4 linked regions of the Notamacropus eugenii genome follow. The protein of the gene in region 4 interacts with the protein of the main gene of each other region in a pairwise test. Links are inferred from orthologs where the notes say so. Each region holds a gene or a part of one and is shown on either strand. Other genes may lie near its edges. The genes, in order: PRR3, NCOA5, CIRBP and KHDRBS2.

What was found.
Region 1: the proteins of KHDRBS2 (region 4) and PRR3 interact in binary tests that used the Homo sapiens proteins (3 or more experiments, as listed by UniProt). The two-hybrid records come from large-scale screens. The link is inferred for Notamacropus eugenii from reciprocal best matches to the Homo sapiens genes KHDRBS2 and PRR3.
Region 2: the proteins of KHDRBS2 (region 4) and NCOA5 interact in a two-hybrid assay, tested with the Homo sapiens proteins (2 studies listed by BioGRID). The two-hybrid records come from large-scale screens. The link is inferred for Notamacropus eugenii from reciprocal best matches to the Homo sapiens genes KHDRBS2 and NCOA5.
Region 3: the proteins of KHDRBS2 (region 4) and CIRBP interact in binary tests that used the Homo sapiens proteins (3 or more experiments, as listed by UniProt). The two-hybrid records come from large-scale screens. The link is inferred for Notamacropus eugenii from reciprocal best matches to the Homo sapiens genes KHDRBS2 and CIRBP.

The regions. Positions count from the first base shown.
Region 1 is NC_092873.1:84,447,409-84,454,644, forward strand, and holds the start of PRR3 (proline-rich protein 3), read left to right. Parts: upstream 1-4,229; 5' UTR 4,230-4,463; coding exon 4,464-4,536; intron 4,537-6,245; coding exon 6,246-6,308; intron 6,309-6,512; coding exon 6,513-6,827; intron 6,828-7,070; coding exon 7,071-7,174; 3' UTR 7,175-7,236. Other genes in the region: GNL1 (guanine nucleotide-binding protein-like 1), read right to left, coding at 328-423, 607-814, 1,560-1,631, 1,796-1,947, 2,051-2,187, 2,548-2,710, 3,179-3,251.
Region 2 is NC_092872.1:475,659,530-475,667,176, forward strand, and holds the start of NCOA5 (nuclear receptor coactivator 5), read right to left. Parts: upstream 3,014-7,647; 5' UTR 2,755-3,013; intron 1-2,754. UniProt on the Homo sapiens protein: Nuclear receptor coregulator that can have both coactivator and corepressor functions.
Region 3 is NC_092875.1:62,241,892-62,249,294, reverse strand, and holds the start of CIRBP (cold-inducible RNA-binding protein), read right to left. Parts: upstream 3,007-7,403; 5' UTR 2,741-3,006; intron 1,819-2,740; exon of another isoform or gene 1,593-1,818; intron 1-1,592. UniProt on the Homo sapiens protein: Cold-inducible mRNA binding protein that plays a protective role in the genotoxic stress response by stabilizing transcripts of genes involved in cell survival. Acts as a translational activator.
Region 4 is NC_092873.1:127,770,866-127,778,503, reverse strand, and holds the start of KHDRBS2 (KH domain-containing, RNA-binding, signal transduction-associated protein 2), read left to right. Parts: upstream 1-4,632; 5' UTR 4,633-4,965; coding exon 4,966-5,056; intron 5,057-7,638. UniProt on the Homo sapiens protein: RNA-binding protein that plays a role in the regulation of alternative splicing and influences mRNA splice site selection and exon inclusion. Binds both poly(A) and poly(U) homopolymers. Phosphorylation by PTK6 inhibits its RNA-binding ability.

The sequences.
Region 1 (7,236 bases), about 43 Mb from region 4:
AAATAACTTATAAAGTAGTTGTAGATATGCATTGTTAGAGGGAGGCCCTTCACAAGGCGTTTCCTATAGTAATGAAGTCACAGATCCAGTCTCCTTCAAAAGAAAAAGGAACCAAGAAGATTTTGCTGGAGGAAAAAAAAACTCCCAAGGGCCCCACCTGCTCACATATACCTTGGACAGTGGAAGATATTCTAGTCAGTTTTGCTAGTACCCTTGATTCTCCTAAAAACGTCATAACTGACAGGCTGACTTCTGGTAAGAGGCAAAGGAAGAACCCCAGACCCTCCCCAACCCTCTTCAGGCCTTTCCTCAAATATACACTCAGACCTTTTCCTGCAGTAATGGTCTCACAAGCTCTTAGCAACTGCTCTGGTCCCAGGGCATGAGTCCAGCCCCTTGTTTGTTTCCGGCGCTTCTTCAAGACTGAAAATAGAAGGGGAGAGGTGAAGGGACAGTGAGGGCCAGATCCTGTCTCTTCCTCCTGCTCCACCCATCATCCTTGACCTCTGTTTGCTACCTCCATTCCATAAAGCCCCTGTAACTGTGTCCCTCAGAGGGCTTCATATGTTCTCCCATATATCCCTATGTTTTCCAAATTTCACTCACCAGTCTTTGGATCCTGTGGGGTTTGGGGGTCCCGAGGGAAAGATGTGAAAAGAACAAGGTGGAGCCGGGGGTAGTGCAGGCGAAAGTGATACTTCCAGGCTATGGCAAGAGCTGGGGGAGCCAGGTCTACTTTGTTCAGCACTAGTATCAGTGACAGCCCTAGTTCCCCTGTCACATACTCATAAAGGGCTGGAGGAAAGTTGATGACCTGCGGGGGATGGGGGAAAGAGGGTATGAAGAAGTAGGAATGAGAATAAGTTACCTAGGAACCTTCAATTCCTCTCTCTCTGATCTACTAGGAATGATTTTACAGGTATCAACTTCTGTAGTTGTAAGATAGTATAAAACCAAATAAGTAAAAGATATGCAAAGAACAAAAGAAATCCCAAAAGAACACTTGAGAGAAAGAAATACATGGTATTCTGGGGGAGGAAAGGCTAGTTTGTCAGCAACAGAGAATAAGAGAGAGACATCTGAGGATAGGAAAAGTGAAACAGGAAGACCAGGTAAACTGGATAAACAGCAGAGGCAGGATGGAGGATAGAAAAGTTCTTATTTCTTACCAAAAGAGAAACCTATAAATAAGCCCTTACTCTTAAACTGGAAAGAAGTTACAACTGGAGAAGTGCTGCTGTTTAATTCACAGCAGTCTGAAAAGTCAGAGCAGGGGAGAAAGTGTTGGGAAGGAAGGAAGGGATGTGAACAGAGGGTCCCCAAGAGTTACTTAGCTGGTTCCTAGAGAAGCACTTGAATTTGTTCCACCCTTCAAAGCTACAAAAGGTAGTTGGACTGGCTGAGAAAGTAGCTGTTAAATAGAAAAAGACTAGAGTCCTGTCTTATGGAATTCAGGTTTAAAAAGTGAGGAAAAAATCTTTTCCTAACCCCTCCCCCCAACTCTTGCCTTTTAATTTTCACCAACCCATTGCCCCATTTGCTTGGTTTCTCTCACTTACTGGATGGCGTATGTCTGTGATGAGGAGGACAATATCAGACATCTCTAGCACCCTCCACAACTGTCGCCAGGTCTAAAAGAAAATAGGTGAGGAAAATCTGACCCTTATGCTGCTAGATCAGTGGTAATTTGCAACCATGCACCAGCAACTCCACAAAGGTCCATGTGTCACTCCCCCTTCTTCAGGGACAGTCCAACTCTTCAGGTGGATGATATAATACCCTGCTCTTATCTCACCTCCAGATTGTGTTCAAAGTAGCTGAGCTGCTCAGAGGTATAGGACCCATGGATCTTCCCCAGATACTCTTGGAAGCTCCGTTCCTCCTGGCTCATCAATTGCTCCCTGGACATCTCATAGTTCCAAGGGGGCCGACGGGGAAAATCTAGGTCTGAGAAAGTAAAGAAGAAGGGAAGCATGGGTGCTCTCAGCACCACTTTTGGCCAGCTGTCTCCCTTCTCCCATCTTCTACTCCCCTGCATCTCAATCCTTACTGGAGCCTGGATGGTAGATGTCTCCAATGTCAAGCTCCAGAGACTTCTCACTGACTGGTTTCAGCACTTGTTCTCGGGCAGCCCTCTTTCTCCGTTCCACCTCTTCCCGGCTTTCTCTTTCAAAGTGTAATCGGTATCTGGGGAGATGATGACCCAAGTATTCAACTTAGTACAGAGTGTCCACAAGGCATCATTTTCCGGATTCCCCTTCAAAATTATAGGCATGTTTTCTCGGTAAGGATCCCGGTATCTTAATCTTCTGCTTGTCTCCAAAGTCCCCTTTTCTACAAATAAAATCTTTCTTCTCCACCCTCTCCCAATAAATCCGAACAAATTGCCTCAGGATAACTAAGGAATCCAAAGTCCTTCCTACAGAGTTTTTATCTCAGTTTATCTTGAGCCTTCTACTTCACTGGCCTCCACCTACGCGCTACCCTCCTTTACTGCCAAGAAAGACAATGAGGGAAAATCCCAAGTGCCGCGTTCCCCACCCTTACCTATTGGGGTCAAAGCGAAGGCCAGAGCCGTGGGTTGGCTGCTGGTTGAGACGCCGGATCTGCTGGGTCACAGATTCTCCATCAGAGGTGTCCGTCTGGTCCTCCCTCCGCTCCCGGCTCCCGCTGCGGCTGTTGGAGCTGGAGCGTAACCCATCCTGCAGCCCTGCAGGCAGGCACATGACGCCCAGCTCTCAGACACGGGCGCCCGCGTCTGACTCGTCCAGCTCTCCCCTGGTAACCCAGCTTCTGCCCCCACATCGACCCAAGTGTTCTGCCTCTGGACCCAGTTTCTCTGTCCTTCTCCACACCCAGAACAGAAGCCTCCCAGGACCAGAAGGGAGAAGCCAGTTCTTTCCCATCTCCAGCATCCATTTCGTCAGATACGGGGCCCCCTCTTCTTCCAACTAAAGGGATCCTCCTCTTCTCCAGATTCGGACAAGGGCTCTCCGTCCACTCCCTCCTCTTCCAGATGAGGGGGAGGTGGGAGGTTCTTTCTTCTTTCTCCTTTCGATGGGAAACGGCTGGCTTTGCCCGCCACCTTCCACCCTGGCCCCAGATGTAGAGTTCATCCCTGTCTCCAGATGTACAGGAGACTCAGGCCCCGCCCCCCTCCGCTCCCTCCCTCCCTTACCTCGTTTCCTCTCGCGCTTGTCCTGCAGCTGTTTCTTCTTCTGCTTCACGCTGAAAGGCTTCTTCCTCGGCATGGCCCGGCCTGGCTCCCGTGGATCTCTAGCCCTCTGCGGGCTCCAGCCGCCGTCGTTTCGCTTCTACCGACACCCCCCCCGCCCCGGGCTACCCCAGCCGCGTAGGGCCCGGGACCCTTGGGGGCGGGGCTCCGACGTGACGTCACGCGGAGGGTCAGACCAAGTCTCTCCTCCTCGGGGAGGGGGGAGTGCGTTGTGGGTAGGGGAACACAGAAAGGGCCACCGATGTAATTTGGGTGGGGAAGTTCAATCACTTCCCTCCAGTAGTACAAGAGTGTGTGTGAGGCTGAAGAAAGTGCAAGGACAGAGAGACGCGCGACGTGCCGGCCACACGCCAGTCCCTCAGGAGTCCCGGGGAGGGAGGGGGGCGGTTCTTGGGGGTGTGGAAGAGGGAGCCGCGCCGGAGCGCCGACCGACGGTACTGACTTCGTCACGGGCGATACCAATTCCCATTCGGAGAAAGGGGGCGAGGGAACCATCCTTACCTTTCGTTCCTGGAGAGACTCTACCCACTCACCTGGTGGGGTGAATGGACTCTACCACTTGTGAGGTGGGGAAGAGCATAAAGCTAAACTAAAGTGACCTGGACGAGCAAGGAGGCTGAACAAAGCTGAAAGGAAAGGGGGGGAGGGGAGAGAGGAAAGAATGATGAAGTACTAGGTTGCCCTGGAGATCCCTTCAGAGAAGGTCAGAGGTCATGTTCAGAGGAGCCACGAGACACCGCACCTAGTGGAAGTTAAAAAAAACCCCAAAACTTGGGTGGGAGTAGGCCACATAATCGCGATGTTTAAAAGGTTGTAATTAAGAGGCACTGAGACTGAGATGGTCTAAGGATGCTGGGGGGGAGGTCAGAGGTCATGAAGCGGCGGCGTGGGCTGTGGGAGGTTACCGAGGTTACCACGCTGCTTGACTTCTTTCTCCCCCCTGTCCCAACGCTCTGGACCGCGGTCCTCTCCACTCTAGGCTACGCCTCCAAGTGATGTCGGTTTTTTTTTCCCTTAGGTAGGAGGGGGGAAGGGGGTGAGGAGGAAGGGAGGGTTGGAGTGTGAGCTTACATTGGAACGCTACACGGTGGGAAAGGCACGCGCCTGCGCACTCGCCGCTTCTGGATGGGTCTGCCGGAAGCGGAAATAATCGGATTCTCTCTCCCTCCATATACCGCCCCCTGCTCCCACCGGCCCGACTCTGATCGTTGCTATTACGCTGGCTGTGATGCCCAAGAGGGGGAAGCAGCGGCCACCGGACCCCGAGGAGAGTGGGGATGAGGAGAGTGGGAGCCCCGCTGGTAAGGGAGAGTTGCATGCGCCTGAGGAAGGCCTGGCACAGGGGCACGAGACAAATAAAGATCCCTCGGGCGTGGAGGGAGAAGGCGAGATTAGTGCTGCCCGAAAGGGAAAGAACCCGTTGCATCTTCCCGTAGAATAGCGCGAGGCGAGGCTTGGCGAGAGCAGAATTCCCCTTCCTTTTTTAAGGACTGCAGGGCAGGGAGAGCTAGAAGTATAAGCGCGCACATGCGCCGACCCGGGTGCTGTGGCGCGCCCGCGAACGGGAGGAAGGGAGGGGGAGGCCGATGCACGTGCCTTGGGGGAATAGGGGAGTGGTGCGTCCGGAGCATCGGCCGGGAAAAGTCCATGAGAGCGCCGGCCTAAAGATGTTGCCCAGAGCCTCTGACGTAGACGAATAAAAGCAGTTTGCCCGGGCAACTGCATCCTCTTTCTCCCTCGCCTTCCCACTCCTACCCATTGTAATTGGGAGAGAATTTGTAAAAGCCAGTTTTCCTACCCTTCCCCCATTGTCTCTTCTGGTCCTCTTTGTCAGCCCCAAGGGTGAGACAGATCCAGAATAAAATAAAGTTTGGTAGTTCAAGATGATGGGAATGAGAAGAGCTAGTAATGAATGAGCTTTGTATGAGGAGTCGGGAGTTCTAACCCGTGCTGTTGACTACCTGCAAATTTGTGCAGAAAGGTCTCATTTGCCTCATCTGTGTTGGATTGTGTAGGGAGTGGGCTAAATGATTTCCCACACTTCATATCAATGCAAATGTTTCTAGACCTCTCCCAACTGAAATGAGGACTAGGGGATGGCGAAGAGAGAAGTCCATCAAATTAGATGAGAGTTAGGAGAAGGTTGCTAGGAATTCCCAGGAAGGCCAGAGATTTATAAGGAAGGGTTCGTTTTGGGACTTGGGTAGATCTGCTTACTTTGGAGGGTGAGTCGTCTTCTTCAGCTCTGGTGGCCCCACACCCCATTAATCGAGGGCCTAGGAGGAAGAATTTTGTCACAGGTTTGCCACCTGTCATTTTGTCTGTCTCTCTCCCCTTCACATCTTGTTTGGGGTACTTGTCCAGTAACTCAGTCAGTGTCATCAGGGCTGCTTTGGGCTTGACAGTCTTACTGACTGTCTAAATCAAAAACTTCCTTCCCTAGCTACTACTCCCCATGTGTTTGGTATCCATAGTTCCTGTGGCATGAAAAGCATTTCTTAAATTTTGGCTAATGGATGATAACAAAAGGAGACTCATACTAAGGAAAACATGTTGAGGTCTCTTTGCTTTATTGTCAGCCTTCCTTTGATTGAAGGCTGTGCCATTTGGTACCTTTGGTTTTTCTCGTTTCTTTTTCGACATCTTGATAACAGATTTTGCTTTTTTGGATTCTACTAAAGCATGATACATTTTGCTTCAGGCCATCATTTTGATTCTGTATGTATCCACAGAAAGTAAACATCTGAAGGGCGGAGACTTTTTCATCTAGTCTTTATACTATGGATAATTCCTTTCACATAGATAGTAGTAGGCCCTTAAGTGCTTGCTAGTAGTAGAGGGAAAATAAGATTTGAACTGTTTGTATAACCATGTGCTATTGAGTTGTAGGTGTAGTAGCACAAAGAAAGGAGAACTCAGTAAAAATAGTACTGAGTTGTTGTGTAAACTGGACTTTACTAAGTTAGACCTTGCTACGTTTTGCTTAACCTATTTCTTCCTGTTCTCTTAGGTCCACCCAGCCTCCTGGGCCCTCCACCCATAGCCAATGGGAAGTTTGGTGGCCCTGATCCAGGTGAGTGGAAAGGGTCTAAAAGGACAGGTGTCTAGATTGATTTGGATTAACACATTAAGTGCATATTACATGCAAGGCACTTCAGCATTTCCTGTAGGAAAGAGGTTTGGGGGATTGGGAGAAGTGGGGAATGAGACTCAAGAAGAAAAATAATTTCTGGGTTTTCCTGGATTCAATTGATTATCTTTCATTGTCTTTCTTTAGGCTTCCACAGAGGCCCTCAGAGTTTAAGGGGACCAGTGATTCCCCCACTCCTGAGCCTTCCACTTCCTTTCTGGGGAGGATGCCCAATGAGAGGGGGCCCAGGACCCAGGCCTAGACCATACCCACATAGCCGTTGGGCCTATGAGGATCCAGAACCTAGGTGGGGAACAGGCTATGGGGACCATGCCAGGAATGGTCCTCCCAATGGATGGAGAAACCTTGGAGGGGGCAATAGTCACCATCCATCTAAGAACATCCCCTGGCCCAAGAACGCCCCTCAATTCAAGGATGGAGTCCAGGAAGGTGATAGAACAGGTTAGTGCCATCACCCTGTATATTTTATTCCTGTTAGTAGCACATAATTACATCCAGAAGTACAAATCCCAGAAGCCCTTCTGTCTTTACCTTGAAGGTACCTCTCAATTTTCCTCTCTCAAAACATTATCCTAGGATGCTGAAGACTATAGCAGTTATTAAACTGTTTCCCTTCAGGATCCCAGAGGTGTCCTAGTTTTTGTCTTCCCAAAGTCTTACACTGCCTTTTTCTCACTTCCACAGATAAATCCAACCGCCCTGTCTGCAGACATTTCTCAAAGGGCCACTGTCGCTATGAGGATCTTTGTGCCTTCTACCACCCAGGAGTGAATGGACCTCCATTGTAAAACTGTGCCTTCCACCAGTCAGGCTCCAGTGGACCTTTTCTATCCTGGAAGCCCATTGCCCT
Region 2 (7,647 bases), on a different chromosome or scaffold from region 4:
TATTTTGTCCCTTTTTAAAGGTAAATGGATTTCAAGATACTTCTAACTACTACAAAACTATTAAAGAACAACAAAAAATTCTGTAGTTTTTTTTTAACTCAGTGTGAACTTTCCCTGAGTACACACAAGAAACTATAAAGGAACACACTAATGTGATGTCAAGGCAACGTACGCATACTATTTTAGGAGTCTTGAGTCTATTCCTACCTGTCGCAGGGAAAAACACAAATGGAATTTATATCAGGACCAAAAGGCATCCTTTATTATTTGGATTAAAAAACCATGAGTACTAGCAACAAGAGTTATTATAGATAGTTGATAATTATAATTAATTATAAATTTCTCTTACAAAACCTACATTCTCTCTTAAAACTTTTTTTGTAAAGTGACACAATTTTCTTAACATAAGTAATTTTAAAGAATAAATTTCCTGTGTCAATTCTACTTTTAACATTTATCTTTACTCTTTCCTTGATAAGAGATAGTTTCCTTTACAGTTTTTAAAAACTTGCATTGCACTGGCCTAGGTCGGAAGGCATTAATTAAACTTTATAGAAAGCAATGCTTTAAAAGGCAGGTTAAGAGAAATATCTTTAGAGTTTAGTAGAATTTTGAGTGGGGGACAATTATTTCTTTAATGTAAATAAACATAGTTAACCTATTCAATTTCTCTACTTAGCAAAGGAGGGAAAAAATGACAATATGAAAGCATTTATTTCTGGTGGTAATAGAAGTATCTGAAAAACAGCAGGCATGCTGGCATTATGTATTCTGCTGTCATTCTGTTTTGTGCTGCCCTATTTGTTACTTTTTCAGAAAATGCTTTGATCTCTTCATAGATACTAATAATGGACCTAAAGACTTCTTTTGGGAGGGAGAGAAAAGGAGGTCATTATTGTTTTAAAAGTCAATAGTTCACTTAAATTTCATTCCAAAGATTTTAGGTACAGTTACACTTATTTCACAGGACAAACTTTTTACTCACACTTGTGTGATACTGTCACTTAAAACCAGTGAGAAGGTAAAAATTCTCTTCATGAATGAATCACGTGAATTTTATATTTTGGGATGGTTATTTCACTTTTTCACACTAAACCTCAAACACAAGTAGGCAACATTAAGTAGAAGGAAACAAATATTAAACATTCTCTCCCAAGACTTCCTTTTCTTAAAAGTAAAATTTTATTCAAATAATCTTATTTACTAGATGGGTCTCAGAAATGCACTGCCACCTGCAGGTCAATAATGTAGAGGTAATAGTGATGATTTTTTTGAAAACGGAAAACTCAACCATCCAATCTTTCTCGGTGGGAAAGGTAAATCATAATTCTCAAATCCCAGCCCAAAAATGACTCCTGCCACAAAGTTCTGAAACTGACTCTTGAATGAGATCTGAGTCTGATCTCCCCGCACATGAGGAAGGTGTTTGAGAAACTTGGACTCATACAGTTTCTCTATATCAAAACCATATCATTACCTCAAAAGAATACCGAATAAAAGAAATCCCTAGAATAACCCAAGGGTTGACTACATCCACAATTCCCCTTTAAATAACTTAAACAGTGCCAGTCAAAAATACATAGGAAAATGAACAGATTTTAGATGACCTCTGACATCCCTTTAAGTTCTAACAACAGTCTATGGCCTATGAAAAAGCTAGACATATTAAAACAGCTTCGACAAGTAGGTTTTTAAAAGCATGCAACACTGAACATCGTTTCTGGGAGGGTCGTTTCCATGAGAAGTAACAAACTCGGCTTTGGACTTCACATTTAAGAACGTGGCAAACTTCAAAGAAAATCTCAAGGACGAGAGAAAGAGAGGGAAAGGGGCGATGCCGAAGCTAGGCTTGGGGAAGGAGCCATCCTGTCGCCACGCGCGATGTTTCATCCGAGTAGAGCGAGGACTGAGCGCCGGGGGTTTCCGCGCGTCAGGCTTCACGCCACGGGCTGACCGAGGCACCAAGTGTCATCCAAGAGCTCTTCCCGTCAGCCGTCGTACGAGGGTCTGTTTGTCTTTTAAAAACCCAGCAGGCTGCTCTCGAAGGAACAGAGCAAACACCTGAAGGGCACGCTCCGGAGACGGTCCTTCGGCCACAAGAGTGGTGGCTAACGAGCCGCTTAACGACAACGCTGCACGCACGAGAAATCGTGGGGCGCTAGGCACCGGGCGCTGCGCCCCGGGGCAGACTACGGCACGCGGCACGCGGCGAGACCAAAGGCAACCGCTTCGGGCCGAGCCGGAGCCAGAGGCGGGGCGGCGGGGAAGGGGTAATCAATCCTCCAACTCCAGGGAAGCTCTGCGTCTCCGAAGCTGGGAGGCGCCCCATCGTTCTCCGGCATACAGTCCCGCCCAGGGACGAATCGGGGACGGCCAAAAGGCCAGAGGGAGGACGGCTCGCGGAGGAGCGCGCAGGCGGCGGAGGGACACCTCAGGCCTCGGCCCGGCGCAGCGCGCGCCACGCCGCCGGGGGGCGGGGGAGGGGTGGGAGACGAGCCTGGAGGGGCGCGCGAGGCGACGCGAAGGGAAGAAGAGGACAGCGCGCGGGCGCGCACGAGGCCAATGAGCACCGAGGACCGAAGACCGAAGGGGGGGGGCCGGGTTTGGAGCGAGCGGGGGAGGGGAGGCGCGCGCCGAACGGGCTCCTTTCTCCCTTCACCTCACCCTCCCCTCCCAGCCATGCCATCCGATTAGCCGGTACCGCGTAGACCCCAGCTGACAGCACCTGGTTTCCGCCCCATCCCCGTCACTCACCGCTACCAGAGCCGCGGGCCTTCCCCGGCCGTTTTTTTTCCTCAAGGGGCAGCCACCGCCACCACTGCTGCCGTCACACACGCCTAGGCCGCTGGGGCCTCCTCCTTCGTTCTCGTAGCCGTCCGTCGTAGGACAAAGGCGCCACCAACCGACCGGCGCGGGCACGAGAGAATGGCGGCCCGGGCGGAAAGTGGGGTGGGAGGCGGACGGGCAGGGGGAGGGGGACGAAGGCCCGGGGGCCGCGCACGTAACGGATGCGCGGCAGTGTCGCGAGAGAACGCCGGTTTACGGCAGGTCGAGTCGGAAGCACCGACGGCTGCCGACCCCGCCCCCTCCCTGTCTATAAATGGGGTGGGGGGGTGGCACCGGTCAGTTGGGCGGTTGAGAGTAGCAGTTGCCAGTTCTGGAACGTCCCTGGGTGACAGTTTCTTGGGGCATTAGGGAATTGAGTTAGCACGCTCCCTTAGCTTAGAGACGCCACGTCGCTTCTCACGTTTCCCAGCCGGTTCCCTCTACCGAGCACCAATGTCAGACTCTTCTTTTTTGCATTTGGTCCTGGGTTCAAACCCTAGCTTCGATTTACTACTCCCCGTGTGACCTTGTGAAATTCACTGCCCCTCGCTTGGCTCAGTTTATTCCGAAGTGAGGTTGTTGAATGTTCCCAGTCTTTACTAATACTGTTCCATGAGGAAAACCTCAAAGACTAGGATAGGATCCGAGATTGATAGCGAAGGATGGGGGGATAGAACAAAAACTAGCTTAAACCCCGAGGTCATACTGGGTGCCCCCAGAACCAAGGTCCATTAGGTTACACATCCAGTTCTTTTCTGCTGCATACAGTGTCTACACTGTTTGCTGGTCTTCAGGTGTCAGGACATCTGAGTTACAATCCTGACTTGCTAAATCCCTGTGTGATCTAGGAAAGTCACTTATCTTCTCTGAAACTCCATTTCTCTATATGTAAAATAAGTGGGGTTGGATTAGGTGCTTTCTAAAGTCCCTTGAAGCTCTAAATCTACTTTCTTCTCTCCAATCATCTGCTCCATTAGAGCTAATAGGACTTGAGAAGTCATCTAGTGTAACACTACAGGAACAGGTTCTTCTTCCTGATCCTACTCCATAACATGCTGACCCTGTCCACAAAATACAGTTTCTGAGTCAGCTCTGCTGTTTTACCACTTACTCCTTGCATAAGAAAAAGCATTAGATTTGTTATCAGATTTGAAACTAACTGCCACTAATATGTATAACCTTGAATAAATCACTTCTCCCCAGCCTCCATTTCCTCTTTTGTGTGGAGATGTTGAGGTTAGGGTGCTGTACCCCAAAATACCAACAGGCTGGGTCCTGCTGGAATCAATTCAACACAAGCCTTCTTAAAGCCGAAGAAAAACAAAGTTTATTAAAGATTCGCCATACTGGGTTGACTCTTAAAGAGCCTAAACATTTGTAATACTTGTATTCACAAGTGGGCCAGATAGAATCTCAGCTAGACAGAGTCTGAGCTGGATTGAATCTGAATGCCTTCATGGAGGTGAGATGGAACTTAAATATAGAAAAAGACTGAGGGAAGAATCCAGGTACTGCCAACTAGTCTGGGGCCCCTGGAATGGTCTTGATGGGGCAGTATAGGAATGACCAGTACCCTGGGGTGAATACAGATAGACTGTAGGGAGGATCTTGATGGAAGTGGCTGGCAATGGGATCAAAGGGAGGAATATTAAAAGAATGCTAAATAGAAGATAGGAAGTATCTGGCCTGGGAGAAATGGAAGGTGAATCCAAGGAGGCCCCCCCCCCCAACCCCCAAGGCCAGTCTTTCCAGGGCCCTTCAGATAAATGTGATAAAAGCCCTCCCGATCCAAAGGGAAAAGGTCTTGGCTTGGGCTTCTATTCCATCATTCCCCCCCTTAAACAGATTAGACCCAAATTCTTTTGTGGTAAGGGGCGAAGGTCTCAGCTTTTAAAACTGCTTCCTGCTGGCAAGGGGCGTAAAGCTGTCCCTGCCTCTCTGGGTCCTGTTCAAGGGGTCAGACTTCAGAACCTGGGCATGCCAGGTCCAGCGGGCTGGAGACCTTTGATTCAGTCGGAGGTTGGTATATAGCCTGGGCTGTCATCTGGAAGTTGATGGCTTGTACTCTGGAAAAGACAGATCTGGCAAGGAATTTAAGAAAAGAGTAAGAATAGGGGCAAGTATAGAAAGAAGCCAGGATTCTCGTGAAGAAGATGATTTGGGGGCACTAAGTTATTATAGTCTGAGTTTGGGTGCCCCAAGGATCAGAATAGTTCCACATTAACCTCCCAGTTGAGAGGGGATCTTTAAGAGATCAATAAGAGTATTGTAACAAAAGGAGCTGTGGCACTGTGCCTTAAACCTACTACGAGAGTAGGGGAAGGATGCAGTCAAAGGTGCAAGTAGGAAATGTTCCCTTGGAACAGCTGGTACAGGGGCCAATGTAAAGTTCTGGATACACGTGTAAGCAAGGTGTTGAGATGGAAAGAGTAGCACATAAAGGGGTGGCCAACATACAGGGTGGCATAGACTTCTGAGGAAGTTGTATTGGGGAGGGGAACTTTTGCAAAAGTTGACCTCCCCCCTGCCTAATGAGTTTCCCAGTTTGACCAAGGAGTTATCCTTCCACTTTCAGAGGCCAAGTGTATGTCAAATGTCAGGGAGGAGGAGAAAAAGGGTTAACATTATCATTGCCAATTCAAAAGGAAACAGTTTCACAAGAGAGAAAGAAGCAAAAAGAAAAAAATATTTTCCCTGGAGGGTATTAAAGAAGTCTATGGCAAGGCCAAAACATAGAAGGGCATGTTTGATAGGGGAGTTTTTTTTCTGTCAGATATCCCCTTTCTTTCCAGATTGCTCCATGGGCATATAGAACAAGGAAAACATAATTTGAGTACATAAAAACATCAACTGGCCTAGGGTCAGGTACTAAGGAATGGGTTAAGACTCCCAAAGCCTGTCCTCATCAACATACAAAGTGAAAGGTTTTTCTAGATTGGGTAGGGCTAGTGCTGGGGTGATGGTAATGTGGATAGAAACAGTGCCCTAAGAGTTAAAATAATACTGATTGACTTTGTGAAGCCCTTGGTGCCCTAAATTCTCCCCTTACCACAACTTCCCCTTATCCTGGACCATATAATTCCTCGTCTCTACCCCTCATCCTAGGGGGAACATATAATTCCTTGTCCCCACCCCTCATCCTGGGGAATGGGATTTCCTTATCTTGTGTCATTCATAGTCCTCACCCTGTGCCTTTATCTTGTAAGACTTACCCTAGATCTCTAACCCCCATTAGGAAACCCTAAAATCATCCTGTATAAGCCTGGTCCTTTTCCTATGTCATTGCCTTTGTTTAACACCTTGTTAAATCTCAGGCCTGCTGCTTTTGCATTAATAAAGCTCCCAGTGGCTACAGAGAAGGTCTAAGTGAATTCATTCACGTTTTGAACCAGCTCTCTCATCTCTCTGTCTCTTCAACAGTGGGCTTGTACCCCATTAGAGAAAGGTAAGGTTGGAGTAGATGAACTGTAAATTCTGTGATCCTGTAAGACATCCTGAATGCAAAGGAAATGAATTCCAACCTAAACATCATTTGTTTACATTCTTTGAGTGAGGTAGGAAGGAGAAGGTGTTTGGGAACGCCTTCTTTTGGATCTTGAAATACCTTTAGAGATTTTCTAGTCTAATTGTCTTATTTGACAGATGATGAAGCTGAGGCCCAGAGAGGTCTGCAAGTAACCCGAAGAAATGAGATTTGACTCCAAATATTCTCCACCAAAAATCACAATCCCTCTCTATGACAAAACTGGAAGAGATTAATACATACATTCGCAGAATGCCAGGGTTGGAAGGAACTGTAGAACACAGGGCACAGAATGTTAGAATTGGATGGAGAATTTAGAGGTCATTTAGTATAAGCCCATCTAGTCTTTGCTTTTGCTCAAGCGTATCACCTATAACTGTAATGTACTTCCTCATATTGGACTCTCTTAGCTCATTTCAAAGCTATTGTCTACCTCTTGAAATTACTTTGTGTTACTTGGTATATACTTTGTATTTACTTATATAGGTACATGTTATATTCCCCAGGAGGATGTAAGTTCTTTGAGAAAAGGCATCACATATTTAACTTTGTATCCCAAGTGTCCTCAATGTCCAGCAGTTGGTGGTTTTTGGTTTTTTTTGGCATGTAACAGGACTTAATTAAATTGAACTCTCTCTTTGCACAGATGATGAAATTGATGTACTTTAAGATTAATGTGAGTTGTGCATGGTCATGCAGCCTTATATATATTATTGTATTATGAGTTCCTCTGTATTGTCTGCTTTAAGTGTGATCCTTCTTATAGAAAGATTTCTGGCCTTTGTGTTTTGAATAGCACCCAGCAAATTAAAAGATGAGATGGGTTCTCTGATACTCTCTGGAAAAGCTGTGGGCCATAACAAAATCATACCGATGGGACTTGAAGGAGTGCAGTAGCCTGCCTGGGGCAGAAGAGGAAGACTTGTGGAATTTATCTTAGAAAAAGAAAGAAGGACATAAGGTTGAAGAAGACTGCTCTCTAGAGCTGGGTTTGCCTGAGGGGTCAGAATGAAAGATCTAAGATTGCTTTCTACTGATCTCCTGCTGCTCATTTTGACTTCTCCTAAAGATAGACCAGAAGGTCTGGGACTACAGAATATAAATTTTTAAAAAATCATTTGGGACACATCTAACACCATGGATGATTAAAAATCGAAGAGGTCAAATGCTAGAGATAAGTGCTTGCAGAAGGCTGTTTGATCTTGAGCCCTGGATAAATGTAGTCTGAAGGATTCCTATGATAACTGGAAATGTTCTATACTGACCAAAAGTGCCCCCCAAAAGTCTAGTGAGTTCAC
Region 3 (7,403 bases), on a different chromosome or scaffold from region 4:
CACATTTTATAAAAAAAGCACACACAAGTAGATCTAGTTCACTTAAAACTAGGGTTCTCAATCCGGGATCTATGCCTAAATTCCTTTGGATTCATTCATTAGAATGTCACATCAAGGGCCCTTTCCTAGCTTTGATAAGGCAAAACAAAAAAAAAAAACCTCAGACCAGAACAGGGACTTTAAAAATAGGCAAAGTCTCCCAGGGCCTGGACAGAGTTCTCTCCCTTATAACACCCCGCCCAAAGCATGAAAGAGCACTGATAGATCTTACACTATAAGGTTAGAAAGAGCTTTTCAAGCAACAAACTCAATACTTTCATTTTACATATGGGAAAACTGATGCCCAGAAAAAATTAAGCAATTTGTCAAGGGTCATATACGTGCTAAAAAAAAGACAAAAACAAATGAGAATAAACTAAATGACCCTGGTTGTACCTTCTTGTTCCTAAGATGGTAGCTAGGATCCCATGAGAGATTAACATGGTATGGTGGGAAAAAAACAAAGAAATTAAAAATCAGGAGCCCATGGAAAGGTTTTACAGCCCAAAGAGGCCTCTGACATGCGTAATCTGGTTCCCGAAGTGCCTCCCCTAAAATCACCGAAGAGCCAGGACCCCAAATTCAGACTCTCCCCACACCATTCCAACCCCAAGGCTGACACTCGCTACCTTGGGGGCAAGTCCCTTCCTTCTGTGGGCCTGTTCTCTAGTAAAAAACATTAAGCCTGGGGTTAGGTGCTGTGCGCGGGACAGAGCCTTCTTTTTACATCTTTTACAGGAAGCCCCAGGACCACTTTGTAGGAGGCGTCAGGTCCGGAATTGACCAACTGACCTCGGGGTCGCTGCTTAGGGGCCGGGTGGGCGGGGCAGCCGGCAGGCCCGGGATGGCTTGGAGCGGCGGCCTTGGCACGCCGGGGCCCAGGCGCCCACCGCTGGGGCCGGGCCGGGTCTGGGAACGGGCCACTCCGGGGCCTAGCCCGCGGCCCAGATCAAGATGGCCGCCGACCACGTGGCCCGCAAGTCTCCCGGAGCGCCTGCCCCTGTCCTAAGCAGGAACTAATTCTTAGATGCCCCCCAGCCCGGCTTCCCCTTAAATCAGGGCCCCTCTCTCTCGTTCGCGGTGCAGTGCGCCCAACGCCTCCCTCCTCCAGCCCCCACTAGCGGCCGCCTCCTTCTGCGCATGCGTGAGGAGCCCCCGCCTCGCCTCCCTGCGCCATTCCATCCGGGCATCTCCGGCAGTCCCCGCCATTTCACTAAGCGGCCCGCCAAGATTCTCGGCCGCCATTTTGCGGCAAAGCCTCAGAGAACTCGCCTGCCCCGGCGGCCCCTGGGGACACCGCAACGGCAGCAGCCCCTTACTTCGGCTGTCGGCCGCCGCCACCGAACCCACCCTGACCTGGCGGGCCGACCCGTCCTGCCCACAGCCGTATCCCAGGGGGGCGTGCCGGTGCCTAGGCCCTTCTCCGCCCAGGCGCTGGGCCGCCCGTCTTCTCCTCCCTCTTGCCTTGATTCCCCTCCCCCCCAGACCCCGACCACCCCAGGCCCTGCCAGCTCCGCAGGCTCGACCAAGTGGCCGGGGGCGGGCTCCCTCACCGGTGTGTTGGATGGGGCGGGAAGGATAAGCGATATCAGCGGACAGACCAGAGCCACCTGAGCCTCCTAACGGGAAAATGAGCGGCGCGCCCAAGAGCTCAGCCTTATATACGCCGCCACGAAGCCACGCCCTCTAGCCCCACCCCCAGAGCCCAGAGGGCCAATCGAAGGGGACCAAAGCCGGACGCTGATTTATATTCATGAGCTTCGGCGAGCTCCCTCTCCCCCTTCCCGCCCCGCCCCGCTCCTCCGAGGATGTGTAAAGGGATTGGTGGGGACTTAGCCTGCCGCTCGTCCGCAGTCCCCCTCCCCTCCGGCTGAAGAGGCCTCTAACCCCAGGCTGCCGAAGAGCGGTGGGGGGGGGGGGCAGGAAAGGAATTGGAGGCGGGGCTAAAATCACGCCCCTTTCTGGGAGCTAGAGGCGGGGCTGACCCAGTTTGGCGCGCTCTCCCTCCGGCACTGCGGCGGCCGAACAAAGGAGCTGCTGGGAAAACGGAGGCCTCCCCTGCCATCTTGGAGGCCTGGGCCCCGCCCCCTCGCGGGGCCCCGCCCTCTCGGGAAAATCATCTCAGACGCCCCGCCCAGAGACGTCCGAGCTCCGCCCTCCGCGGCCCCCAGCCCTCACCACGGGAAATCACTGCTCCTCCATATCCCCACCCCTCCACCCCCTCCCGGAAAGCCCGCCCACGCTCGAGTGCTCCGGGGTTACGCCTCCCCCAACCTGCTAATTACTCCCACTCCCCCCGGGGGCTGCCCCGAGTCTGGCAACGCTCCGTGGCCCCAGGGGATCCCCTCCCCCAACCCAGCCAATCCGCCTCCTGGGCCGCGGCCCCACAATCACCCCCCTCCCCGTGCTCCCCTCCTCCCCCATCGGCCCGCACAGCCACCCCTATGCCCGTCAGTTACCGGTGACCCCGGTCCCCGCGCCAGGGGTCATCCAGGACCCTTCCCTCTTCTCCATCCCCACATCCACTCACTCACCGAACGCTCTCATTGGCTGCACCCCCTCCTGCCTCCAGCCCCCTTTCCACCCCTGCATCCCCCGCGCTCCGTACCGCGGGTGGGAGCCCCCCCCGCACACCCCGTGACTCTCGGGCCCCCCGGGAACGACTAAAGACGCCACTTTATCTACAGCGCTTCTCCATTACCTATTCGTCTGGCCCGTGATCCCCTCCCTGCCAGGTGGAAGCGATCAGCACCTGCGGATGACCCGCAGCCCTGGGGTTCCCTCTGCAGCACAGGCGGGGGCATCCGCGCGGGGACCGCCCCTCCCCCAGGGCTAATCCGGCCCGAGTGACCCTGAGCAAGTCCTGGGCACAGGGGGCGTGGCGACAGCAGCTGGGAATAAACGGAGATCACGTTTGTGCACGAAAGCGTTAAGGCTCCGTCTCAACTGTAGCCATTCCACGTTTGTACGTTGGCAACACGCACGTGCCCCCGAGTCAGGGAACGCTGTGCCCGAGCCCGGCCTCCGCCCGGGGATGCCCCGCTCCACCCGGCCCTGGCACGGCTTCTGGCTGCCTTCAGAATGCCACCTTCTGCCAGAAGCCCGCCCGGGCCTCCTCCGACCTAACCCACCTATACCTCGTTTGTACCTAGTCCCCAAATGGTCTCTCGCTCTTGAGGTCAGGACTGCCCCTTGCGCTGTGCCCTGGCACATAGTAGGAGCTTAATAAATCCTTGTTGACTTGGATGTCCAGGTAATAATGGTCAGGGCAGAGCTCTGTCACTTGCACCCTGGGCTCCAGAGTCCAAAGGTTGGGGGGTGCAGTGGGGGGCTGGAATAAAAAGAAGGGGGCGGTGGGAACATAAGGAAAGAGGAGAAGAAACTTTTGAAACACCATTCGTCCAAGTTTTATCTGTCGTGTAACAGAGTTCAGGTCTTAGTGATTACGTTACTTTCCAAATAAACACAAAATGCAAGTTAGAACCTATCAGTCAAGTCCACTAAGACCTTAGGAAGCAAGTGTTGGCGGGGGAGCATGCTTTGCACCGCTGGGAAGTCCAGCATGCATCCACAGGAACATGACTTGTGTACAATATGATACTATAAGGTTACATGATACAATGTTGCATCATCAAAATTTCAATGCAGGAAAGAACCCCACAAGTTTACAATACGTTATTAAATTTATGTGTTTTGGGAAGTGATGCCAATTTCAAAAAAAAAGTTAAAAGGTTAAAGAAAGTAAATTTTCAGGAGGGTGCTGAGTAATTTTTTTTGAAAAGTAGTAGGCCAAATACGTTTGGGAACCTCTGGAGTAGCTGTTAACCCGGGGGAAGGGGGGATCTTTATAGCAAATATTTCTAACAAAAGTCCAACACCTAAAAAATAGAGAGAATTGATACAATAGAAGAATAGGAACCGTTTCCCAGTAGTCAATTTTTTGTTTTGTCAGTTTTCAAATGACTAGGTAAAAGAATGTTCCCAATCATTAGTAAGTGAAATATAAATTATGATAACACTGAAGTCCCACCTCACACCTATCAGACTGGCAAAGAAAAATAGAAGATGGCAACTGATGGAGGGACTACCATAGGACAGGCACACTAATGCACTGTAGGTGAAGTTATGAGTGGGTCCAGTCATTCTGAAAAGCAATTTGGAACAATACCCCCAAAGTCCCTGAGCTACACATACTTTTTGACCAATGATACTACTGCTGCTACTAGGCCTGTACCCCAAAAAAGGGCAAAGTCAGAAAAAAGGACCAAAAATGTTTACATAAAAATATTTATAATAACAAAAAAAAATTGGAAATAAGACTACCCTTCAATTGTAGAATAGCTGTACAAATTGTGATTTAAGAAAGTAATGAAATATTATTAAACCATAAAAACAGTGATTTATATGGAGGACCTGGAGAAACTCAAGAAGATTTGTCTAGTGGGGGCCAGTCCCATACTCAGAGTGGTTATCACCAACCACTTGTACAAGAGAGGAGGGGATTAGTGGGTAGTTATAGAAATGCAAGAGAGGGGCAGGGGGAGACAAAACATTTAAACATAAGCAGAAAAAGCAAAAACAATTTCAGGAGATTAGACAGGATACCTTTGTTACTACATTTATTTAATTTAAAAACACTTTTTTTGGATGTTCATGATTTCAAACAAAATTTTCTCTTTTGGGATAATTTATTTTAATTTAAATTTTTTGTATTTCATTTCCAATTACATGTAAATATAATTCTTAACATTTGTTTTTTAAAATTTTAAGTTCCAAATTCTTTCTGTCCCTGCCATTTCTACCCCCCAGCTTGAGAAAGCAGGTGATTTGATACACATTATACATGTACAGATATGCAAAACATATTTCCATATTTCCTTTTCCATGTTGCGAAAGAAAACACAGACCAAAAAAACAAACAAACAAACACAAGAAAAATAAAGTTTTAAAAAAAGTATGTTTTGACCTGCATTGAGACTCAGTTCTTTCAGTGGAAGTATATAGCATTTTTCATCATAAATCCTTCAAAATTGTTTTGGATCCTTCCGTTTCTGACAATAGCTAAGTCATTCACAGGTGACCATTGTACAAGATTGCCATTGCTGTGTACAATGTTCTCGTACCGTAGCTTGGTTCTCTTGGATCAGTTCATATACGTCTTTCTAGGTTTTCCTGAAACCATTCTGTTTGTCATTTCTTATAGCACAATAGTATTCCATCTCAATCATATACCACAACTTGTTCAACAGTTCTCCAGTTGACGGGCATCCCCTCAATTTCCAATTCTTTGCCATGACAAAAAGAACTACTATAAATATTTTTGTACATAGAGGTTCTTTTACCTTTTTCTTTTTTTCTTTCATTTTTTCAAATCTCTTTGGGATACACACCTAGTAGTAGCATTGCTGAGTCAAAGATATGCACACATTAGGTGTAGTTTCAAATTGCTGTCCAGAATGGTTGGATCAGTTTACAACTCTACCAACAGTGAATTGATGTTCCAATTTTTCCATATCCCCTCCAACATTTGTCGTTTTCCTTTTCTGTCATATTAACCAATCTGAGAGGCGTGAGATGGTACTTCAGAGCTGGTTTAATTTGCATTTCTCTAATCAATAGTGATTTAGAGCATTTCTATATGACTGTAGATAGCTTTGATTTCTTCTTCTGAAGACTACCTGTTCACTCATGTCTTTTGACTCTTTGTCAGTTGGGGAGTGACTCATATTCTTATGGTTTGACTCAGTTCTGTATAGTTGAGAAATGAGGCCTTTATCATAGAAACTTGTTATAAAAAATTTGCTTTCCTTCTAATCTTGGCTGTATTGGATTTGTTTGTGAAAAACCTTTTTAATTTAAAATAATCAAAAGTATTCATTTTACTTCCTGCAATATTCTCTATCTCTGGTTTTGTCATAAATTCTTTCCTTATCCAAAGATGATAGGAAAACTATTCCATGGCCCCCTAATTTGCTTATATCATCATCCTTTATGTCTAAATCATGTACCCATGTTGACCTTTTCTTGGTAAACAGTGTGAGATGTTGGTTTATACCTAGTTTCTGCCAAACTACCTTTCCAGTTTTCCCAGCACTTTTTGTCAGATAGTGAGTTCTTGTCCCAAAAGCTTGGATCTTTGTGATTATCAAACGGTAGATTACAACGGTCATTCATTACTATACATTGTATATCTAATCTATTTCACGGATCTACCACTCTTATTTCTTAGCCAGTACCAGGTTGTTTTGATGATTACTACGCTAAGATATGACCTTCCTTCACATTTTAAAAAATTGATTTTCTTGATATTCATGATTTTTTGTTTTTCCAGATGAATTTTATTATTTTTTCTAGCTCCATAAAATAATTTTGTTAGTTTGATGTGGCAACAAATAAGCAAATTAATTTAGGTAGATTATAATTTTTATTATATTGGTTCAGCCTACTCATGAGCCATGAACATTTCTCCAGTTTTTTAAATCTGACCTTATTTTATTATATTCTATTATATAAATGATTATATATAAAATTGTATATTTTATTATGTAAGTGAAAAGTGCTTTGTAATTATGTTCATCTAGTTCCTGGGTTTGTCCTGGAAGGTAGACTCCCAAGTATTTTATATTGCCTATAGTTATTTTAAATGGAATCTCTCTTTCTGTGTCTTCCTGCTGGACTTCATTGGTAATATATAGAAATGTTGATTTCTGTGGGTTTATTTTGCTTTCTGCAACTTTGTGGAAGTCGTTAATTATTTTGACTAGTTTTTTAGTTGATTCTCTAGGATTCTCTAAGTATAACATCATATCATCTGCAAAGAGTGATCATTTTGTTTCCTCTTTGCCTATTCCAATTCCTTTCATTTATTTTTCTTTTTATTGTTATAGCTAGCATTTCTAATACAATACTAAATAATGATGGTGTTATTAAGCATCCTCGCTTCACTCCTGTTCTTCCTTCTAAATTATCCCTGTTACAGAAAACACTTACTGATGGTTTTAGATACACTACTTGTCATTTTAAGGAAAGGTCCATCTATTCCTATGCTTTCCAATGTTGGGTTTTTTCAACAGGAATGAGTAATGTATTTTGTCAAAAACTTTTTCAGCATTTATTGAAATAATCATATAATTTTTATTATTTTTGTTATTGATAGGATCAATTATCCTGATAGTTTTCCTAATATCAGACCAGCTCTGCATTCCTGATATAAATCTCACCTGGTCATATTATATGATCTTTGTAATATATTGCTGTAATAACTTTGCTAGTGTTTTATTTAAAATTTTTGCATCAATATTCATTAGGGAAATTAGTCCAGAGTTTTCCTTCTGTTTTTGCTGTTTCTGGTTTAGGGATCAGCA
Region 4 (7,638 bases):
TAATACATTTTGATCAGGTAAGATTCATACCAGGAATGCAGGACTAGTTCAAAATCAGGAAAACTATTAGCATTTTTGATCATATCATCAACAAACCTAAGAGAAATCACATGATTATCTCAATAGATATAGAAAAAGCTTTTGACAAAATACAACACCCATTCCTATTAAAAAACACTGGAGAACACAGGAATAGAGGGAACTTTCCATAAAATAATAAACAGTATCTACCTAAAACCTTCAGCAAGCATTATATGCAATGGGGATAAGCTAGATGCATTTCCAAGAAGATCAGGGGTGAAACAAGGATGTCCATTATCACCACTATTATTTAATATGGTACTAGAAATGTTAGCTGTAGCAATTAGACAAGATAAAGAAATTGAAAGAATAAAAATAGGCAAAGAAGAAACTAAGTTATCACTCTTTGCAGATGATATGATGATATACTTAGAGAATCCCAGGGATTCAAATAAAAAACTACTTGAAATAATAAACAACTTTGGCAAAGTTGCAGGTTACAAAATAAACCCGCACAAATCTTCTGCATTCCTATATATTAGCAACAAAGTACAGCAGCAAGAGATAGAAAGAGAAATCCCATTCAAAGCTAGGGTAGATACTATAAAATACTTGGGAGTTTACCTACCAAAACAAACCCAGAAACTATATGAACACAATTACAAACCACTTTTTGCAGAAATAAAGTCAGATTTAAGTAAGTGGAAAAACATCAGTTGCTCATGGGTAGGTCGAGCTAATATAATAAAATGACAATTCTACTTAAATTAATTTACTAATTTAGTGCCATACCAATTAAACTATCAGAAAATTATTTTCTAGAGCTGGAAAAAATAATATCAAAAATAATATCAAAATTCATCTGGAAAAACAAAAAGTCCAGAATATCAAAGGGACTAATGAAAAGAAATGCTAGAGAATGTAGCCTAGCACTACCAGATCTCAAATTTTGCTTTAAAGCAGCTATTATCAAAACCACATGGTACTGGCTAAGAAACAGAAGGGTAGACAAGTTCTTGCCTTCAAGGAGCTCACGATCTAATGTAAGGATGAGAACAGATATGTATAATCAAGGCTTATAAAAATGAATTAAAAATAAGCATAGATGGAAAACACTGGGATTAAGGGAGAGTAGAAAAAAATCTTCTTGAAGAAGGTATGGTTGATTTGAAGCTTGAAGCAAAACAAGACACCCAGGAAGTACAGAGCAGAAGGAAGAGGATTCCAGGCATGAGATACAACTAGTGATAATTCATAGATTTGGGAATTAAAGTTTGAGGACAACCAAAGAAGCCTGCATAAGTTCAGCAAAGAATGCTTTGAAGGGAGTAATGTGTAAAAATCCTGGAAATATAGTAGAGGGATAAATAATATAGGAGGGATTTAAAAGTCTAAGAGAGGAATTTTTGTTCAATCCTAGAGGAAACACAAAGCCCCAGGAATTTATTCAATGGGGAAAAATAGAAGTAACATGATTAAACCTGTGCTTTAAGAAAATCATTTAGTGGCAAATGTGTTGGAGTTGGGAGAAACTTGAGGCAAAAATATCAAGAAGCAGATTGTGGCAATACAATCCAGGCATGAGGTTATGAGGGCCTTCATCAGGGTCATTTATCACGAAACTACAATATTAGTTATTTTTTATAGTCTGATAATATTGCAATGTACTCATATACCATGATTTGTTTCATTACTATTATTTTATATGGGGAGTTATAATTTTATGTTTATTGACATATTCTGTGTAATTTTCAATGTTTGATATAGGATATAATGTTTTCAAACCTTTAAAAAATTTTTTGATATTCTTTAAGAAAACATTACTGGACATTTTTATGGTGATCAGTACTTCCTAAATAAAATCAGTAGATTAAGTTGGTGACATCTAAGACATTTTCATGATAAAAAATATATGTTCCTATGCTGATATTTCAGTATGACATGGGTGTGACTTAGGGTTTCATGTTTCATTTTAATGGAATCTAACACAAATTGTGTTTGTCATTGAAGGATCAGCCTAATTAAATGCATCGATGTTCATTAGCAGATGGTTAGTCACAAAGTGATGCTTTTGGCCACAGCAATTCATGAAGAATGTCTATGAAGGAGCATAAGGGTTGCAATCTGCATTATTCTAGGGAATACTCACACTGCTGAAATCAAGATTCTTGAAGTGTTATATTATGTCAACACATCCACAGCTAAACTGTTGTATCTTCTAAATGTACACTTAATCATGGAAGAGAATGTTGTGAATATATAATGTAATTGTAAGACAGAATAATATAGTAAAATATCTGCATCATTTTAATTCATGAAATTCGGTTTCTGTGTACCTCTCTGATGGGTGCATACCATTGGTCTCTTGTAGACTATATAACAAAATGTGAAAGCAATCATTATCCAATAAGAATGGCTATTTATTCCAATTTATAATTCCCCATCCCATACTTTTAATAAATGTTAGCTCTGTTTCTCACCTAACTCTTCTCAGCTACTGCAGTAACTGCCAACAACTGTCTATCAAGTAAGAATTGCTCTATTTGTAATTTGCTGCAGGGTCAGGACCATGGACAGAAAACAGTGCAAAGGAACTTTCTAGGGACTAAAATCTATTCAAGCTGCTGAGCATGATTAGTCTCTCAAGGCAGTACTTCTGTCTGAACTCATTCCTAAATTACAATAACATATAGAAGCTAAAAGTTGCAAAGAGGTGACCAAAGATTCAAGAAGAATTGGATTTAGAAATGGATGAGGAGAGGAAGTGTGGTATAGAGATCTGGGAGTCAGTGGATTTGGTTTTGTGGAAGAGCACTAGAGGAAGGAGTTATAGGACCTGGACTTGAGTCTGTCACTTTCTAAATGTTTGGTTTTATGTCTGTCACTGAAGCTCTCTGAGACTCAATTTACAAATTCAAATCTTTAAATTGAGGCGGTTGATCCATAAGCCTTCTAGTTATAAATGCACAGTCCCAGTTTTACCCAGTTAAGTGACTAATGAATACTATCTACATCATTTTCCTCTCCTATAAAAAGGCAGAAGTCATATCTACTCTATCTACTTCATAAGTCTGTGATGATGAGAAGAACATGAATTTGAAGGTGTTCCAGCAGTTTTAATGTTATAAAATAAATATACTATAATTATTATGAAGAGAGAATATATATTTTGGGAGTATGGGTTTTTTCAAGTTATATAATGGTAAAGTATTATTATTTGTTATTGTACATGGAACAAAAGGGATTTGAAATCCAAAAGGAACAACATATTACAAATACTAATTTAAAAGTGAAGCAATTCAATTCTAAGCACATGTACTTTGCTGTTAAGTTAGCCTGAAAAATGAAATAATAATAACTTGCATTTATGTATCCCTTTAAATAATTATCTCAATTGATCCTCACAGATAATCTGAGAAGAATTTTCCATTACGTCTCCATTTTACAGATGAGGAAGTGGGTCCAGGAAGATTATGCGAATTAAAGGGAAACATTTCTGGGAGGGAAATCACCCCAATAACACACTCTGGATCATTAAATAATGATTTAAAGGTATAGAATAATTTTTTGCATGAAGATTCCATATTGCTTAGGCTCTTGTGTAAATGGAACTCGTGCTTTGTGTACCACTATTCCAGCAGTACAGATGACACCTGAGATCTGAAACCTCTTAGCTCTGGAATATAGTGCGATAGTCACTGGAACAGCGTTGGTCTATGGTCAAATGCTATGTTCTCTTAGAAGAAGGGAAAGGCAAGCATAAGAACTACCTGGTTCAGTGTCCCTTTCCTGATTTTCTTTTTGAATTTCTTCCTGAACTGTTTAGCTAAGTACTTGAATTTAGCTTCTAGATTAAGTGAAGTCGGGCAGGAAAGAAAAAAAAAAGAAACCAAAACTCTGCTCTATTTACTATACTCTAGAGGATTGTCACATATTAATACCCTTAAATCATTGGAGGTGATTTATCTTTTTTTTTCTTCAGTGAAGTTCCTGCGTTATCTAAATAATGCCTTTCTCAAGCCAATGTCCTTATGTCTTTAGTCTTTGAGATTATGTGTGTGTGTTTGGGGGGTAGAGACACTCCTGTATTTTAATTATTTCACGGTTCAGAAAGGCATTTACTATAGAAGACACTTGTGCTCTTAGAGACGCTGATGAAGTAGAATCAGCCCTTGAGAGACTTACTCTAGCCGTAGTGCATACTCCATCCCGACCTTTTCCACTTTTCATCACTAAACCTCTTTTTTTCCCCCTGTCCGGATTTTGGTCCCTATATCCTATCTAGGTAGGGCCAGAATCTTTTCTGCCAACACCGGACGATACCCAGAACTCTCCTAATACAAATGCTCAAGCTCAGTAGGCAGGGCAGGTCGTGGTCGTATGAAGGCTGCTTTTGCTCTGCACTGCTGGACTCCCTCCGCCGCCAGCTCCTGCTCTGGTCTGCCCGTCAGGCGGTCAGACTAAGCTATCAGCCCAATCGCGACACCAGAACCTTCTTTGGGTTCTCCGCCTCCCCGGGCGCGGTGGCCAATGAGCAGTCCGAAGAGGTGGGGTGGGGGGACCCCTTCCTCCCGCCTCTCTAGTTAAGGCCGCTGCAATTAGACTGAGCTCAGAAAGAGAGCGAGGGGAGAGCTAGAGGGGTCTGTGTCTGCGCGGGGCAGCGGCGGCGGCGGCGGTGGCGGCGGCGGTGGCGGCGGCGGGAGAAGGTAGTGCACAGCCAGCCCCACAGCTGCATGGGTCAGTGAGAGCTCCGCGCCAAAGGCTAGGAGGCGGCTGCGGTGGCAGTAGCGGCGGCAGCTGCCGTGGAGGAGGCGGCGGCGGAGAGGGAGGACGAGGAGGAGGAGGAAAGGGAGAAGGAGGAGGGGAGAGGCATCAGGCGCCACTGCCATTTGAGCAGCGCCTTTTTAGCTTTTGCGCGCTGACCGCCGCGCCGGAGTGCCCGCTATGGAACAGGAGAAATATCTGCCTGAGCTGATGGCAGAGAAAGATAGCTTGGATCCATCCTTCGTGCATGCAACGCGCCTCCTGGCAGAAGGTAGGTAAGACTGGTCTGGCGCGTGATGGGTAGATATCGACTGACTGGCCGGCTCGTGCCTGGCTAGTGTGTTAGGGAAGTGAAGTTGGGGAAGCAGACCTGTCTCCTCCTAGCCGCCCAAGCTCTGGCTTACCTAGCATCCTAGGAAGATAAGAGTCAGGGCTTGGGAGTCTGCAGATGTTTCCCCGCCCTCTTCTTCTTCCTCTGCGTTTGCATTTTAAATTGAGAATCAGCCCATGAGAGAAAAGCTACCGAGATTGTGACCTGTCAGGAGAATGGGTAAGGAGGATTCTGATAAGGGTTCAAGGATTGTCAGAAAAAGAAGCTGAAAGTGGAAAGGCGGTCTGCACAACAAGACACTTGGGGAATGAGGGAGATAGATGGATGATCAGTTGGGAAGTCATTTATGTTCCCAGTAGGATTCCACGCCTGATCCTTAACGAACCTTGTCGCTACCGACTAGCGCTTCCGCAGCATTTTGGAAGGGATCTGATGCCATTTAAGCCAATCAGACAGTCTTTACCATAGCCTATCTAAGTCATGTTACTAAGTAAGTCAGATGAGACCACCCGTATGTATGTATTTACATGTGGGGAAGCATAAGATGGGATGGCTGGTAAATCTATTTCAAGGGTGATGATTAGGCGCTGGGCAAGATGTACCCAGACACGCTTTCGCCAATTGAACAGCTGTTTTACAAAGTATGTGTTTTCTTTTGTGAACCTCTAACGTAAAAGACATTACATTCCTAGGGATGCACGAGGACTCTTCCTTAAGGAAGGCTCTTGTATATTGTTAGGATTAAAGAAATGGATAAATGCAGGTTCAAATAATGCTCTTCAACTACAACTTTAAAATAAAAACAGCAATTAAGACTAGCAGAGATCAATACATTTTTTTTTAAAGAAACTACAGTGGGGAGGAGTGCTCATCAATTATTAATTTCCTCATTATCAAATTAGCCAGAATGCAGTTATGTAGCTTGGGTTGCTGTGGGCTAGTGTATGCTAAAATAAGTCAAAAGTTGGGTATTTTAATGAAACATGAAAATATGCTTATATTGTTTGTATGGATAGTTCATATAGAAAAAATATGCATGCTACTATTTCATACACAATTAAGACTGGTTTTCAATGCACTTATTTACTTTATAAACACATAGATGAAAGTTTTATTAATACTTGTGCTTTCAAAAGTAAAAAATGCAACTATTTCCCTTCTTTATTCTTTAGTTATATAAGAAAATAGCTACAGACAGTTTTGCAACAGTATTCGTGATTTAAGTAATTATCTGAAGAACTTAATCTGTGAGAATTTGGGAGAGGGAAGACTGCATTCATAATTTCCACAGTGCTGGGTACTGAATGCAAGATTGAACAAATGAAAGTTGAAAAGTCAGTTATTTTTGTCCACTTTTCCTCTCCTTAAAAAAAAAATCAGGAACAAATAAGAAAAACATATTTAAGAGTATGAGAAAGTACAATTAAAGAAATTTAAATTTTTTTCAAGACAGCAAATAAAGTCATGAAAAAACTCATAATCATACCCCTGAAAAGGAGTACACTTTGAAATATAGAATTGGCTTATCTGTCCCTGTTTTGTCCATTTGTTGTTATTGTTGTCTTTAGTTTATAAATTCAGTTTTAATCTGGTATACTAATTAACAGTTCTCTTTGGAACAATGGATTTTATGATTAATAAATAGTTTAAAAAATCAATTGAGTTTGACAGTTTGTAAGAGAAACACTAAAGATAGCTGATAGCTCTACTGTGCCTGGTAAGACAATCAAAATACTTGGTGTACTTTATTAGGAATCTTCTATTGAGGACACAGACTATTTCAGCATGTAATTTAATATTTTTCCAGCAGGGGGAGGCATCCACTGCTTTTCTAAAAGAGGAGGGGGGGGGGGAAGCATTGGGGAAAATTACCTACAGAAAGAAACAAAAGAGTGAGGCTCGATTTGAATTCATATTGTAGAGGAAATGGGTAGAATATGATTTCTTTTGGGTTTCTCAACTTTCTGTCGATGTATATGACATACATTTACATTTACATATACATATATGTAAAATGAATGAATAACTTTGTGGTATACTCTGAGTTTACCTAGGGACGAATGTAAATGGATATTACAAAGGACTAAAGTGAGCTATCTTTGGCATCTGTAGGGAATGTTAATGTAGACTTCACACTATATACCTCATATAATCCTATATACAACACCATCTACCAAATATTTTGAAGATGGTTTCAATCCTCTTCAGAAGAGTTTTAATTCAGGATTGTGACAAAGTTACTAGTAAAAGTGGTGCACATAAAATAATTCTATCTTCTCATTGAAAAAAAGCACTGACAAAAATTTTCAGTGAGCAGGAAAGCAAGCTTCAGTGTTTATTTCATTGTCTTGCTGGCAGACATAACAGTGAGAGCAATAAAAATGATACAGAAGATTTTTTTTCTCACAATGCTTTCCCTGGATCCAGGTCCCTGTGGGGGGGACAGGGGAAGATGATTGCTTAAAGTTTGTAATAGAAACTAACTAGCATTCTCAGGTAGTTGTTTCATATAGTTTATGATT